2 linked regions of the Oreochromis niloticus genome follow. The protein of the gene in region 2 interacts with the protein of the main gene of each other region in a biochemical or structural test. Links are inferred from orthologs where the notes say so. Each region holds a gene or a part of one and is shown on either strand. Other genes may lie near its edges.

Region 1 (7,755 bases), on a different chromosome or scaffold from region 2:
ATCATCATCACTATCATCATCAGTATCATCATCATCATCATCATCATCATCATCATCACTATCATCATCATCATCATTATCATCATCAGCATCAGCAGCATCACCATCATCAGCATCAACATCATCACTATCATCATCATCATCATCATCGTCAGCAGCAGCAGCAGCAGTAGCATCACCATCATCATCACTATCATCAGCAGCAGCAGCAGCAGCATCATCACTATCATCATTAGCATTATTGCTGATGATGTTTCTGACATCTCATCACCGTTTCTTATGAAATATAATAAAGTCATTTTCCAATATTATTCAAACATTTCTTTCTCAGCATTTGGAGAAAAGTCCTTATTTTATTATTTATTATTTATTTAATTCCACTGAAATGAAACAGATGATATTTGTGGAGCATGAGCTGCAAACAGCTTTTCTCCCTCGGGCCGTCTCAGGGCGTTTGTACGGTCTCTCCCTCCAGGCGAGCACCCCCTGCAGGCCGAGCCTCCCTTCAGCAGCCGCTCCACCTGAGGCATGCTGGGAGCTCGCAGACTGCCTCCCCCCTCTAAAGCTGCAGCTGTCTGCGTCTCTGCTGGAAGCGGCGCCTCCTGCAGGTGAGCAAGGATGAGCGCTGTCAACACCTCAGCTGGAAGAGGAGGAGCAGCGTCCTTTAAGTTGAAGCTGAGCTCAGGATGAAGGACAGACTTTACACAGCTTTCTTCATGATGATGTATAACAAAAATAAAATTACTTGAATCTTTGATTAATCTGATGATTATTTTAATCAGGCAGGCAGTTGATGAGTGAAACTTCATTAGAAAATCATTAAACGGCCTCCTTGTGTCACATTTTATACCACAGCATTAGAGCTGGGCGATATAAGATTTTTTCATATCACGATATGTTTTTTCATTTCAGGCGATAACGATATATATCACGATATAAGCCAAATAACTATATTTGTAAGATTTAAATGTGCCATTGCTCACAAGTAAAATGTGAAATAATCAGCAGCTTGTTTTAATTAAAATATTTATTTCCCATAATAAGTTCAACAGGGTAGATGTACTTAAGGAACATGAGACTTCAGTTTCAGATAAATAAAGGCAAATATTGCAAACTACACAAAAGGCAGCCGCTAAAGCGTTTAAGTTTCAAAACAGAAAAAACAAAACAGACTAAATTGTCAATTCCACTTAGAAACAAAATATTAATTCTAAAAATAAATCTTAGTTTGTTTTACAGAAGAACAGACAAAATTGACTAACTTTTGTCAATATCAAATAAACTGAGAACTAAAAGGAAATTCTCAATCTCTCCTTGTTGTATAGCTTAGCTTTTCAAACAGTTTTAACAGTTACTTTAGTCTGACAAAAGCCGAATGACGAATTAGCGCTTTCAGTCAGAGATTGAGCATGCACCGCTTTATTGTATATCCAGACTTGCTTTCGGCACAATTTACAGTGCGCGCTACTCTGTTTTTTGTCAGACTTGAAATAGCCAAAATACCTTCACACTACGGAACTTCTGTGGCCCTTCCGTTCGACAAGCTCTCCTGCATTGGAACCATCATCTGTTTTTTCTTCGGTAACCTTCGCTCACGCTCTCGGTTGATTTTTCTCTAGTCGGCAAACTCATTTCCTTCATTACCCGGGCTGCACGGCTGCAAAAACAAATACACATGTGCACCTTGGCGCTTGTGCTGTACGTAACAAGTCACGTGACGTGACGCTGCGGCTGTGATTGGTTTGGCTTTGCGCTACTTAATTTGGATTGGCTGTTCTTTTTTTTCTTTTTTTTAAGAGGACAAGAGAGATGAAGCCTATCGCAATAGTTTAATTTTTCTATTGAGAAAAAGTTATTTCGCAATACATATCGTTATCGTTTTATCGCCCAGCTCTACACAGCATATGAAACATATCTAACAGTATGATCAGCAGCAATGCAAAGAGATAGAAAATTCTTAAAAGGCCCTGCAGGTGGCGCTGTGTGTGGTTGGCTTGTCTCCATCCTGTGAAAGCCGAGGTCTTTCTGGAGGTGGGCAGCTGTGTATTAAAGGAGTTAGGTCACTGACCTCGACGACCTGCAGTCCCTATGCTGTCCAGCAGGGGGCGGGTCCTCTGAAGATTGACTGGACAATGAGTCTCATGCTCAGCTGACCTCTGACCTAAGTGATGAGATTCTGTTCTCAGTCACTGCTTTCAGGTCTGGTTCAGGTGAGATGGGGACGAGAAAGTCAGAGGAATGTTTGGGTAGCACCTTTAAATGATTTTCTCACCTTAAAAACACACAAATCAATTCATTCAGGATCCAACAGCACACCGCAGCCTGATGTATAAAGATGAACTTTAAAGGACAGTTGGAAAAATTACAGTTATGAAGATCGACGGAAATAAGGCGATGAAGCTGCCGGCGTTAGCATACCACAGACCTTAAAAACCAAACAACGCTACGTAAAAACACAAGAAAATTACTTCCTGTTACTTTAAAGAAGGAAGAGTTATCAAAGACTGTACCAGATACACACAAATGTGAAAGGATCTGAAGGAGACTTCAGAAGTCTTAACGAAAGAACACCAACATGTGACTGGGATGGAGCGTTACAACAGAAGAAGGAACCTCCGTCTGTGCAGCCTGGCTGAACAGGAAGGAGACGAGGTTAAATAACGAGTGATAGAGACCTGCAAGGTTGTTGCTCCAGACGAGATCCATGTTTCTCGATGTGAGCCACTGAGCTGGGCAGAGAGAAAGCAACGAGAATCGACAGAGATTCATCTCAAGATGGAGTTTATATCAGCACTGCAAGTTTTCAGTAGCTTTAAAAAAAGGTGGTGAGATCATTATAATGAGTCTGAGTTTCTGACACATTCCTAAAGTGATGACTTCAGTCTCTACGTGAGTTTATTGTTCTATTATTCTGTCTTTAACAGTTTATTGAAGGGAGCCGCTGCAAGAAGAAGATGAAACATTTACAACCTTACAATAATTAATACTTGATTGCATCGAGCGACAGAAAAGCCGGCATGAGGTGAAGAAATGTGTGTGTAAATTCTGCGTTCAAATTAACGGTAAAATAACTTTATGGTAATGATATTTCTGTGTGAGGACAGTGAGACAAAGTCACAGAGTCACAGTGTAAGTTCATTAAGATTAATTTGAACCTTATTAGTGATAATATTTAAAGGTGCAGAGTCATCTCCAGACTGTAAACAAAACTACAATCAATTTATAGAATATGAGATTTAATTCAACACACAAACAAAGTGCAATAACTCTGACTAAGGCTACATTCACACTGCAGGTCTTAATGCTCAATTCCGATTTTCTTATCAAATCCGATTTTTTTGTCTGCTTGTTCACACTACAAATAAAAAGCGACAGCAAACGCTCTCCAGTGTGAACGCTCAAAGTGGCCCGCATGCGCAAAAGAAGACGTCACACACAACTCGCTCTGTTTAGACCCAAACCAAACAGTATTGTTTGACTGATGGCCCTTAAAATAAAGACTTCGGACTTCACGTTTCCCAATTTTTGCTTTAAGTTATTTTGTTATTTACATAATAATGTAAATAACCTAATAATTATCCTTATTGCTGTTTTAGAGGAGCGGTGCTTCAAAGGATAGTCGCAGATTTCTGTCAGAATCTGCAGATTATACAGTACAAATAAAATGTTCACGTTGTCTTCCCAACAGTTTCACTGACATCTACACTGGATGGCCAGGAAGCGTTCGCGATGTCTTCTCCGGCGCTGATAATTGGCGTCTGTCTTGTGTCAGTGACGTAAAAGACGGATTTAATGCGACGTCCGTTCAAACAGCAGTCACTTTCTAAAACATCGGATATGTATCGGATTCAGTACCACATACGAAAGTGACCCAGATCGGATTTGAAAATATCGGATTTGTGCCGCTCACACTGTCATACCATGATCGGATATGGGTCGCATAGGGTCAAAAAAAAATCGGATTTGATGCGCTTTCGCCTGCAGTGTGAATGTAGCCTTACATCTTTATTTTATGACTCGTTTGGGCTCCTATCTGCTGTTTAGTGTATGATCCCTGTCATCTGCACTGATTTCCACACACCCACAGTCAGGAAGTGTGGTTCAGGCCTCAGCTGATTATTAAAGGATCTGAAGGGTTGAGCAGACGTGTGTACAGTGCTACAGCGCAGCTGTACTCAGAGTCTAATCTACTGCCCACAGTCACAGTTCTGTGGTAACCGCAGTATTACTCTATCAAACTCTCCCGAGATATAATGGATGCTTTTCTTTCACACACTAATGTCATGCTTGAACAGCTTTATTTGCCTGGGGTTGTTCTGACAGCTGAGTCTGTGTCCTGTTTCCTTCAACAGGATAACGGACTGAAGTCCAAGTGCGGTTTCAGCCTTTGCTTTCACTGCACTGTGAGGACCTGTGCAGCAGATTAATGACAGCCGAACGATGAGCGCTCATTTAAACGTTTGTACAGGTTTGTGTTTCCCGCCTTTTACCGCTCACAGATTTTACAAAAGTTATAATTTAATGTTTTTCAGATGGACTTCCGGGCGAGCGGAGCGCCGCACCAGCGAAAAACACAACACAACCGGAAGCAGCAGCAGTGTGATTGACAGGTCGGCCCACCCACTCACACTCAGCTACGCACCTTTAGTGGGCGGGGCCCCGCTACGTTGTTTGTGCTATTCGTTAAAGCACGTACGCAGAGACGTGACGTTTGACGCTGTGGCTGGCAGCCGCGCATGCGTGCCTATCTGTCAGTCAGAGGACTTTTAAATGGCCTCGCAGTCCGGGAGCCCCGGTGCTCGGTAATAACGCCGTTATTCAGGACATCAGCCCCGTGAACAGCGTGTCCGCGCGCCGCGGGAGGCCCCCTGTGCCCGGCGGGATCGCGCTTTGTCCGGTCAGTGCGGTGAAAATGAGCGACGAGGACGAAACCGCGCAGAGAGCGCGCCGCGGGTTCGAGGAGCTCTGCAGGGCGCTGAACATGGACGAGGAGGCGAGCGGGGAGGCGTGGAGGAGCTACGAGAACATCAGCAGGAACTTCACCCTGGAGGTAGCACGCTCACCTGGACAGGTGGCTCTGTGACGTGTTTCTGACGGGTCTCGGTGTCCACGGGCAGGGGCGTGTCCGCAGGGGGCGGGGGGATGCCCCTTTAACTGTAGCGCTGTCATATTCTACCAGCAACAAGTATCTGAATACTTTTACTTGAGTACTTTACCGTGTGCCCTGCATGGCGTTTCCTCCTCCATCAGGTGGAGGTGGTGTTTATGTTGCTCCGCCCAGCAGCCCGACGTGTTAAACACAGTAATAATAAAGAACTGTGCTACACTAATATCAGCATAACGAGTACTTTAAGTACTGTGTGTACTTGGATCTGAGCAGTATGACGGTGAATTTTACTTCAGTGATGGCTCTAAGTACACTGAATGTGAGCATTAAATACCCAGGAACGCCCCTCAAGCGAAGGCTGGGTCCATCCTTCAGAGGACCCGGCCTTCGCGGTCTACGTGGGCCGGGTCCTTCAAAGACCAAGAAGGCCGGAAGTGAGCGGCTGTGAAATGGGACGGTCTGGCCTTCAGATCTGCGTCACCGCTGTCTCGGTGGAGTTTAATAAACTCGGCCGTCTGCTCCTTGCTATCTAAAATATAACAGGACACTGGAGCAAACTCTCAACCGTCTCACACTTCTGTTTAATCAGTTTTCTGTTTGACGTTTATTCAGCTGTGTGAAAACCCCAGAGGAACCCACCCGAGGGATTAATAAAGTTTTATTTAATCTAATCTAATAACTTTAATCTCAGCCAAACCGATTTACTCACAAACAAATAAAACACTGAAAAAAGCCAAACAATTACATTTTTAGGTTGTCTAAGTGACTTATATATTACGTTTAACCTGAGTCACGAAAGACAGCGGGGGTCTGAAAACGATGAAGCCGGGAGTCCGCTGCTCTCGCTGGCTCGAGTGACCATTGAACCCCCGGCTTGCTATCAAGCGGGTGGGTAACAGACGTCTCCGAAAACGTTGGAGCACTTTTGCAAATATGTGATATCTTGATAAACCAAGCAGATATCTGAAGTTTACACAGCTACATTCTCGCCTGAAAATATGTTAAAAGTTTATTTTGTGACCCAGAAAGGGAAGGAGACGAGAGTGCTGTCCGTCCCTCGATGCTTCCTTCGTCCCGCAGCCTCGTCTGCATTTCTGCGCACGTCTAATCTTTTAAATAAAAATGATATTTATTCAGTAACGTCTGCAAAGCTTCCTGTCGTCTCGTTTCCTGTCGCAGGGCAGCGAGCTGCACTGGTTGGCGTGTGCCCTCTACGTGGCCTGCAGGTCGTCGGTGCCCACGGTGGGGAAAGGCACGGCCGAGGGGAACTACGTCTCTCTGACCCGAATCCTGCGCTGCTCCGAGATGAGGTCGGTGTGCCCCTCCCCACCTTCACACCCACAGAAACACAATCACTGAAGACATAACGACACACAGCCAGGCAGGTAACCCAGGTGAAGAGAATCAGGGCGGGGCCAGCAGGCACAGTAACAGAGGCAGACCTTCAAAATAAAACAGGAAATAGACAAAAGACTATGAACACGAGGGAACACGAGAACCACTGAGACACACAAACAGCTGGAAATGAGCAGGAAAACTAAATATATAAAATAATATCAGTTACAAAATATTAAAAATGATGAATAAATAAAAATAGAATAAAATGGAAATAATCACAATAATAAAAATTAAAATTGAAAAAGGTTTTTAATTGTGTGATCAAAACATGAAGCTGTAAACAAACAATGAGATTTATGTTCAGATATTTGTGACACTGTCACGTTATCTGCTCTGCACCTGCATCAGTAATCAAGCAGATTCACATAAACGTGGCTGATTTTATTTCCCAAAGCATATCATCTAAAAACAAAAACACAAAATAAGAATATAAATAAATAAATGATAGACCCTGTCAGACGTGCGCTCTGTGAATGGTTTAGAGGCAACCACGAGGTTTATAATACGCCGTCTTCGTGGTTCGGCGTGCTTCTCATATCCCCGCCCTCTGCTCCTCCTCAGCCTCATCGAATTCTTCAGTAAGATGAAGAAGTGGCAGGACATGGCCGACCTGCCGCCGGACTTCCGTCAGAGCACCGACAAGCTCGAGAGGAACTTCATTGTGTCCGCCGTCATCTTCAAGAAGTATGTCCCCATCTTCAAATCCATCTTCAGGGCGCCGTCAGAGGAGCCGCCGCGAGTGCACCGCAGCCGCAAGCAGAGGTGGGACTGTGACCTTTCACCTCACCTTCATACTAACTGCTCAGTATTCAATTCTTTGGTGTTTGTTGGTGTGGTCGCCGGGCGGCGGCGGGACTGCGGCGTCCGCTAACCAATGTGCGCACTTTGCTTTGCAGACGCCACCCGTGCACCGTGACCGAGGTCTTCAACTTCTGCTGGGTGCTGTTTGTCCACGCCAAAGGTAAGCACTTCCTGTTTACTGATGTCAGAGAAGTCCGTCCAGCGCCCCCCGGTGCAAACAACAGCTGGTCACAGACAGCTGGAGGTTTCGTCAGTGGGAATAGTGTTTCCCTCCCACTGTCGCCAAGTGCTCGCTCACGTGTGCGGTGTTTCTCTGTGTTACTGTCGGGTCGGGTTGGGATTGGGAGCTGCAGAAATGGGATAACAAATAATCAGGACTGTGAAGCTTCAATCTCTTCTTCTTCTGCAGCTTTGAGTGCACTGCTGCATCCCAGCAGTCACTCAGCTGG
Region 2 (7,777 bases):
TTTAATAAAAAAAAAAACAGAGGGACAGATGCGTCATTACATCCTCTGTAGGACTGTGTGATTACTGTATGAGGAAAATAGATGTATTGGTGCATTTCTTTCTCTCAAATAGAGCTTAACAATAATAGATGGTGATTTCATTTCAGTTTCAGGGAGATAACATTCCCCTCACTGATGCTGAACATTAAGACTTAAGATCATTGCTGGAATCGCTGGAATGCCCATGATTAATATACACTGTCTGAAGCTATTTAGTTTCTTGATGTCATGTCTGATTGTTATAAGAGTACTCAGAAAATTGAGAAGTAGTTTTTCCTTCAAAAAGTAATTGATGGTTGTGCGACAGCAGCAAAGCTTCACGATTTAAGATAGGATAATTGTTAATTGCCGTGACATACTTGAACATGTGCCAGTGTGTTGGAAGAGCAGATACAGCCTTTGATCTGTGTTATTGTTTCGTGTGTGGCCTCTGTTTGTTGTAAAGGCTGCATTTGCCTTTGAATGGGCCTGGATATGCTCGTGTCAAGCTTTCATAAGTCTGCTGAAAATCTAGAGCTACACCAAGACTGACACGTACTGGCTTTCCTGGATGGTATATGGTTATTCTTTTAGATGTAACCCCTATGACCTCTGTCAGCCTCTGCTCACAACAGTCTTGACACGTCTCTGGCACAAGTCTCATGCCTCTGTTCGAGTATTGGTGGCCTCCTGCTGACACAAGCAATTCGACTATACAGTTAAGTCAGAGCAGCAATACAACAGATGTAGTAAATAATGGAATAGCAATAAAACTGCACTTGCTTGCCTTGAGCTTGTGGTAGTTTGAAGGCAGAATTGTAAATGACTGTGTCCTGAAAATCCTTTAAGGCAACAGTTTTAGTATCAAAACAGACAGCTACTGTAGGTCGAAACTGGAAAGGGATCATTTTGATGGTTAGCACAAGACACCTGGATTTGTATCCACTGGCCAGCTGAGCTGCCCCCCACAGTCCAAAGACATGCTTCCAGGGTTGGTGATTGTAAATTGGCCACAGTGTGATTATAAGTGTTCTCTGCGGCAGCTTGTCCAGGGTGTACCCTGGTGTTTGGCTCTGGTACACGTGACCCATAGATAAGCAGAAGAAGATGGATGGATCTGATACACAGTGTTCTGAAAAAGCATTTGTTTTTGTTTTTGTTTTTACATATTTGTCAAACATTTATTAATTTTTCAGATCATCAAACAAATTTTAATCTTAGGGAAAGAAAACAACATTCAGCGTTTAAGTGATGATTACATTTATTATGGAGAAGAGCTATCCATTGTTAAATCATGAATTAGTTGTGATTAACCACATTTTTTGGAAAGCTGACGTCAATTTCATTAGTGATACGTAAGCCTGATTGCTGCCAGACATGTTGAATCAAGAATCACTTAAATAGAACCTGTCTGACGAAGTGAAATAGGCTAAAAGATCTCAAAAAGCAACAGATCATATCACAATCTCAAGAAACAACTGAGAAACAAAGTCATTGACATTTATCAGTCTGAAAAGGGTTACAAAACCAATGGAGAAAACCTGGAACAGTGATGAACCATCCCAGGAATAAAAAAAAAAAAAAACCCCACAAAGGCTCATCTTACATTTGCCAAAAAAAAATAAAAAATCTTAATGATCCCAAAGACTTTTGGGAAAATGTCTTGTGGACTGATGATGAAAAGTTGAACTTTGTGGAAGGTTTGAATCCTGTTGAAACTGGTGTAAAACTAACACAACATTTCATAGAAAGATCGTAACAACAGTCAAACATGTTGGTGGTAGTGTGATGGTCTGGGGCTGTTTTGCTGATTCGGGACCAGGACAACTTGCTGTAATTGATTGAACCATGAATTTTGCTGTCTAACAGAAAATCCTGATGGAAAATATCCGGCCATCAGTTCCTTTTCTGAAGCTCAAGAACACTTGAGTTTTGGAGCAGAACATTGATCCAAAACACACCATCCAAGTCCAACTGTGAAAAAAAAAAAATCCAAACAAAATGAGGGTTTGGCCCATTCAAACTTTAACAAATTTAATCCAACTGAGATACTTTGACATGACCCTAAACAGATCATTCATGCTGGGAACATCTCCAATGTGACTGAATTAAAATAATTTCACAAAGAAGAGAGGGTCAAAGTTCTTCCACCACAAAGTAAAAGAGCGAAGAGACAAAGTGAAAGAGTGAAAAGACAAAGTGAAAGAGTGAAAAGACAAAGTGAAACAGTGAAGAGACAAAGTGAAAGAGTCAAGAGACAAAGTGAAACAGTGAAGAGACAAAGTGAAAGAGTCAAGAGACAAAGTGAAACAGTGTAGAGACAAAGTGAAAGAGTGAAAAGACAAAGTGAAAGCATCAATTATCGAAAACACTTGTTTGGAGTTCTTACTGCCAAGGGTGGCACAACTAGTTATTATATTTAGGGGGCAATTACTTTTTTACACAGTGCCAAGTAGGTTTGGATAGTTTTTTTTCTTTAATAGATGTTACAGTCCCTGATAATGCTTTAGATGGAGAGACTCTTGAGGGATGGCTGTTATGAGGAAAGGCAGCCCAGAAACTTTGCCAGCAGCACACATCGTTGTGTACCTCAACTTTCGGTCTTTTACCCAGGCTAATCTGCCATTTTCCTTCCTTGGTTAGGTTTAGGGATTAGAGATCGATCTAGATTAGGGTTAGGGTAGGGGGTGATATATATATGTATATATATAAAGACACAATAAAATAAAGACAAACTGACAAATATTGTTCTGGGTGATTGGAAAAGATGTGGGATCACTGCCCCACACAGAGCCCCCAGCTAAAATAAATATGATTTATTATGTTACCAGTTTAATTGAGACTGGGATTAACTGGGACCTGGTTTAGTAAAGTCTCCATTATTTTATATTTTTGCACAATACAAGAGAAGACCTGCTTTGGACTTCACATAACAGTATGATATAATAGGTCTATATTTAGAGTTAAAGAAGAACAACACGTTGTATGCTGAATTGAAACTGTTAAAGCCACAGTCAGAAACTTACAGTGTGTAGTAACTTTTTAAAGAATATAGTTTGATATACATTTCCCATACATATACAGGAGGTTCTTGTGAATCGACAGCAGGGTCATTGCTGAAAGTGTCAGCAAATTTATCCCAAAAAGGTTGTTGCCACATTCTAATAAACTGCTTGATATGGGATGATCAATGTTCACAATTAAAGCTTATTCCCGCCCCCCATTTTTCTAATTCGAAATATTTCTTGAGTTGTTGCTCTCACTCTCAATCACTGAGTCCTTTTACATAATTTCAAAGAACAGAAGAGGCTTGACCGTGCTGATTAATTCACATATAATAAATGGTAAATGGACTGATTCTTATTTAGCGCTTTTCTGCTCTCCCGGAGTACTCAAAGCACCCAAAAACCTCCTTCGAGCCGGAATTGAACCAGCGACCTAAGGATTCCTGTTATCATACACCTACAGTCCTCCGCTCTACCAACTGAGCTATCGAAGGGACATGCCAGAACGTAGGCAATGTAGAAATTCTCCTGGGAACTGTAGTTTTTATCAAGTGCCTCCTAAACAATTCACTATTTGGACACGAGCCGTTTGGAAATAGTCTTATTTAAAGGTGAACTTGGTGTTTCTGTGAAGAGAGAACTTTTTGTGAAAGATTAACTCTGATTATGTTTATTACAGTGATGAAGCATGAGTGCATATGTGTGACGAACAGATGTATTATCAATGAATCTTTAATCGTTGTCTTTGTTAGAAAGTCACTGGCTTTAGGACTGAGTCTGAGTGAGATCACTTGGCAGTTTTGCTGATACCGTACACAAACAATAAACTCCTTTAAATGGGCCTAGCGACCTTTATTCATAACCGAAAACTGAGAGGAATGGATACGATGTGGAAGGTAAGCCTGTTAAAGACAGCGTGGTTAAAAGACAACGCTGTCTTTTGTTTTGTTTACTTTTTTGGCCTTGACAACAAGGAGATAAAACAGTGACATCATAGCCACGCCGAGAAATGCACGGCATGCTTTCACAGAGCCATGACGTATTCTCTTTAGTTTGTGTCGGTAACTTCCCCAATAAACGGCGAGCCAATGAAACTGCATAGGAAGCAGCTCAGCGAACCAATCAGTGAGCAGCCGTCATAGGTCTCTGGTTGCTATTTGTGTCGGGCGGCGCTCTGTTTTTAGTAAAGGTAGACCACACAGTGTTAGACCGGAAATTATTAGATTTTTCAACAATATACAGTCTGACGCAATCTTCATATAATAATAACAATCATCATCGTCATCATAATAAAAATAATATATCCTCAAACATCTACCGTGACCACATTCTGGGAAATATTTTATGTATATTTACCAACCTTTGTCACTGTGTAAGTTTCAGAGTGTGGCAGAAATTAGTTTATTCAGACCATGTTTACAAAAGCTGTTTACATAAAATTAAAATTTACATACGTAGAAAAGTTGTAAAAGGTGGTCAATTAAAACGTAACTCTTTTTTTTTTTAAATTATTTGCCAGATGCTAGTTTTTTTTTCTAGTTGCATTGTTGTTATGTTTAACCCTAGCAAGTTATAATTATTATTTTTTTCTTTTAGGTAAGGGTGTATTTCAGAACTTGTCCGCCAAGAAGCTTTTATTTCGAAGCGCAACCGGAAGTTTGTTATTTGCTCGCCAGCGGCTCGACAAGGGTGGATCCTTAACTGTCACCTCTCCCTCCCTCTCCCAGTTTCAATTCAGTCAAATCATCACAGTGATCTGGCAGTTAGCGATACATGCGCCTGTTAGTAAGAGAGTGATTAGCTTCTGCTGTGGCCGTTTTGTAAGCCCTCGAAAGACGGTAACCTCTGGGAGAGTCCTAACCCGAATTAGCTAACGTGACAAACTGCAGCAAACCCGAAAACACACAGAAATGGACGAAAAGGCGTTTACGAAAGAACTGGATCAGTGGATCGAGCAGCTCAATGAATGCAAGCAGCTGTCCGAGGGACAAGTAAAAACACTATGTGAAAAGGTAAGATTTTATTTTTTAATTCCCTTCCTTAACTTATTGCTAACGTCTTCTCCCTCCTCACCGCCGCCTTCCAGACATTCTTAAAATGGCGTCTATAGTGTATATTTCACTGCGTTGTACATGGATTTGACAATCATTACGAGTTGCCCCAGACTTCTGTTCTGTTTAAACAGCTTTACACCGTGATATGTCGCTAAATAAGAAATTACATGTGGTAGTTTTCGGGCTTCTTGGTACTTTATCGGGCAGGCAGGATGACCCATAAGCTTTGAATTCAAGTCACATACCACATTTACAGCCCTGCTCATTCACACTGACAGTGACTGCAGCATCTCTTTTAGCCGTGCTACTGAGTGGAAGTGCTCTGCCTCATTTTTTCCCTTTATATTTATGTATGGAAGCTGTTAGAAAACAGTAAAGGAAAAATGTGGCCAGCTGGCATCAAAATGGAAAGAGATAAAGTTGATTTCTTGTGAGAAAGTCAGGCTTTTGGGGTCCTTTTATTTAGCCTATTAAGGTTGATTGTATCCAGTTTAGGTGCAGCCACTTCGAGCAATGAAAATGTGAGGAAAAGCTTACTGTATAGCTCTTGGCACAGGGTATGGTGATCAAGGCAATCAATCCAGTAATAAATCCAGCCAGTCAGTTTATGTCAACGAGGAGGTTTTTCTTTCCTGCAATAAAAAAAAGAAAGAAAGTTGGCATCTACTTAAGAAATTTGGCCCTCCATTAAAGGAAAATAACCAGGGGTGTAATTATAAAAAGTTATTTCTAAGTGGGGCTTAGTTTAGTTGAGCTTAAAATACATTTTTGGTTATCCAATGACAAAAAAAATAGCAAATTGCTCAGACTTGTTAATTAAGGTAACACAGTCTGTTTACCTTCACTATATGTGGATGAATAAAGTTTGTTTATGTCGCCAAAGCCCCATCGGTGCCCTAAATGTGCTTTATAGTCTCTGCTGCTCCCAGCCAAAGATAACAAACATGAGAAACCACTGGGCTCTGCACTATCCACCACTTCTTATTTATGCTAAATTACACTGCAAATGTATTTCCTGCTCCTTGTTTCTGTATGCATTGTTCTTGGGTGTTCTCATTCTTGTTTGCTGAGTGCAAAACTTTGTTTCACGCGCCAGTGTCCGGCAGCCTCGCCTCTGTCAGTGTGCCCCAGGGTGGCTGTGGCTACAACGTAGCTTGCCATCACCAGTGTGTGAATGTGTGCGTGAATGGGTGAATAACTGGATATGTAAAGCGCTTTGGGGTCCTTAGGGACCAGAAAGGCGCTATATAAATACAGGCCAGGCCAGGCCAAATGTTGGAATGACAATAAAAATCCTTTAATTTTGAGCCAAGAAACACCCTGAATGAGGGCTAGTCTAAATGAGAGAAACACCTCCTGTAATTTGGAACAATTCGGCAACTCCTAAAACACTGCAAGTTTCAATCAAGACAATTTCCACAAACATTGTACCATCAAAGTCATAATCTTGTTAGTTTTTAATTAGATGTGCCTAATAAACTGCCAGCTGATTGTGTGTGTGATACTTTTCCCCCTCAGCAGCTCTCACAGGTAGTCAGGAAACTGAGTCCTTTATCTACCTTCTGTTTACTCATGTCTATAAATGGAGAGGATGACTTGTTCGAGGCAATAATGTGGGCAGTTTTCAAACTTTAACATGACCTAATGGATGAAAGTGATGTGTGGCGTGAATGGTAGTTTTCACATTTGAGTTCCTTAGTCCTTTGCTCTATTTTTTGCATCACTGCGTTGCATCATTCAGCTTTGGAAACATAGAGATAGTTAAAAATAGCTGAAAAGTGATTTAATGGTAATTTCCCTCAGACGTTGGTTGACCTTTGATGTTATCATCACAGTGTGAAGTTGACCTTTAAGCTGGTGTAAGGTTGTTCCTTCCTTTACTATTATAATTTTTTTTAAAGGAACCTTAATTAACTTGTTTTGAGTGTCATTATGCCCATATGCTTCTGCTTTGGTTGATAACTGGCCATTTGATTTTGTGGTCTGAGCTGAGCTTAACCCCAATCTCTCTGCTCTGTGCTGATTTCCGGCTCTGGATGTCTGGTTGTAAAGGAGCATTTACTCTGAAACATTTTACCACTTTTCTCTCCTCAGATTGTTTTGATTAATACTCTTTTTGTTTGTTTTTTGGATTTGTTTTTTGTGCTTTTTAATCCTGATCTTGATCTGTCTAGGATTTCTGTTTTCTAGAAAGCTCTCTTGCCCAAAGCGTGCTATATATTGTTGCTGCCTTGGGTCATGGTCCATTTTTAGGCTTCCCCCTGCTGGAGAATTGACACCCTGTCCTCTGATTGTTAGATTTATGTGTCAGAAGTCAAGTGACTGACACCATAACTTGACAGCGTGTATAGTGAATATGATAAATTTGCTGTTAGGCTTTACGCTGATAGAAGAGGCTTTTTCTTTTCTTTTCTTTTTGGACAGTTTTCAGAGTCTGTTTTTCTTTTTATGCTGCAGCTCTGCACCCCCTCCTTGACTTTTAAAAGGATACAGAGACTGGGCCCTCTACCATGTTTGGAGTTCTGTGTGCTGAAGTTTAAAGGTCTGGTATTCTCAAGTGGAACGTTAATCCCAACATTTGTTTCCATTTGAGTCCCAGTAGTTTTAAATGCTCATTACACTGTGTATCAGGATCCCAAAAAGGGACTGGATCCTTTCCATAGGGCTTAGAGGGAAGGTGGTGGTGGTGGTCAGTGCTTA

The links.
Region 1: the proteins of ppp2cab (region 2) and rbl2 form a complex in vitro, tested with the Homo sapiens proteins (2 studies listed by BioGRID and IntAct, with this or other methods). The link is inferred for Oreochromis niloticus from reciprocal best matches to the Homo sapiens genes PPP2CA and RBL2.

Annotation. Positions count from the first base shown.
Region 1 is NC_031972.2:1,776,572-1,784,326, forward strand, and holds the start of rbl2 (retinoblastoma-like protein 2), read left to right. Parts: upstream 1-4,651; 5' UTR 4,652-4,912; coding exon 4,913-5,050; intron 5,051-6,286; coding exon 6,287-6,417; intron 6,418-7,066; coding exon 7,067-7,267; intron 7,268-7,401; coding exon 7,402-7,466; intron 7,467-7,755. UniProt on the Homo sapiens protein: Key regulator of entry into cell division. Directly involved in heterochromatin formation by maintaining overall chromatin structure and, in particular, that of constitutive heterochromatin by stabilizing histone methylation.
Region 2 is NC_031975.2:22,852,736-22,860,512, reverse strand, and holds the start of ppp2cab (serine/threonine-protein phosphatase 2A catalytic subunit alpha isoform), read left to right. Parts: upstream 1-4,769; 5' UTR 4,770-4,933; coding exon 4,934-5,035; intron 5,036-7,777. UniProt on the Homo sapiens protein: Catalytic subunit of protein phosphatase 2A (PP2A), a serine/threonine phosphatase involved in the regulation of a wide variety of enzymes, signal transduction pathways, and cellular events.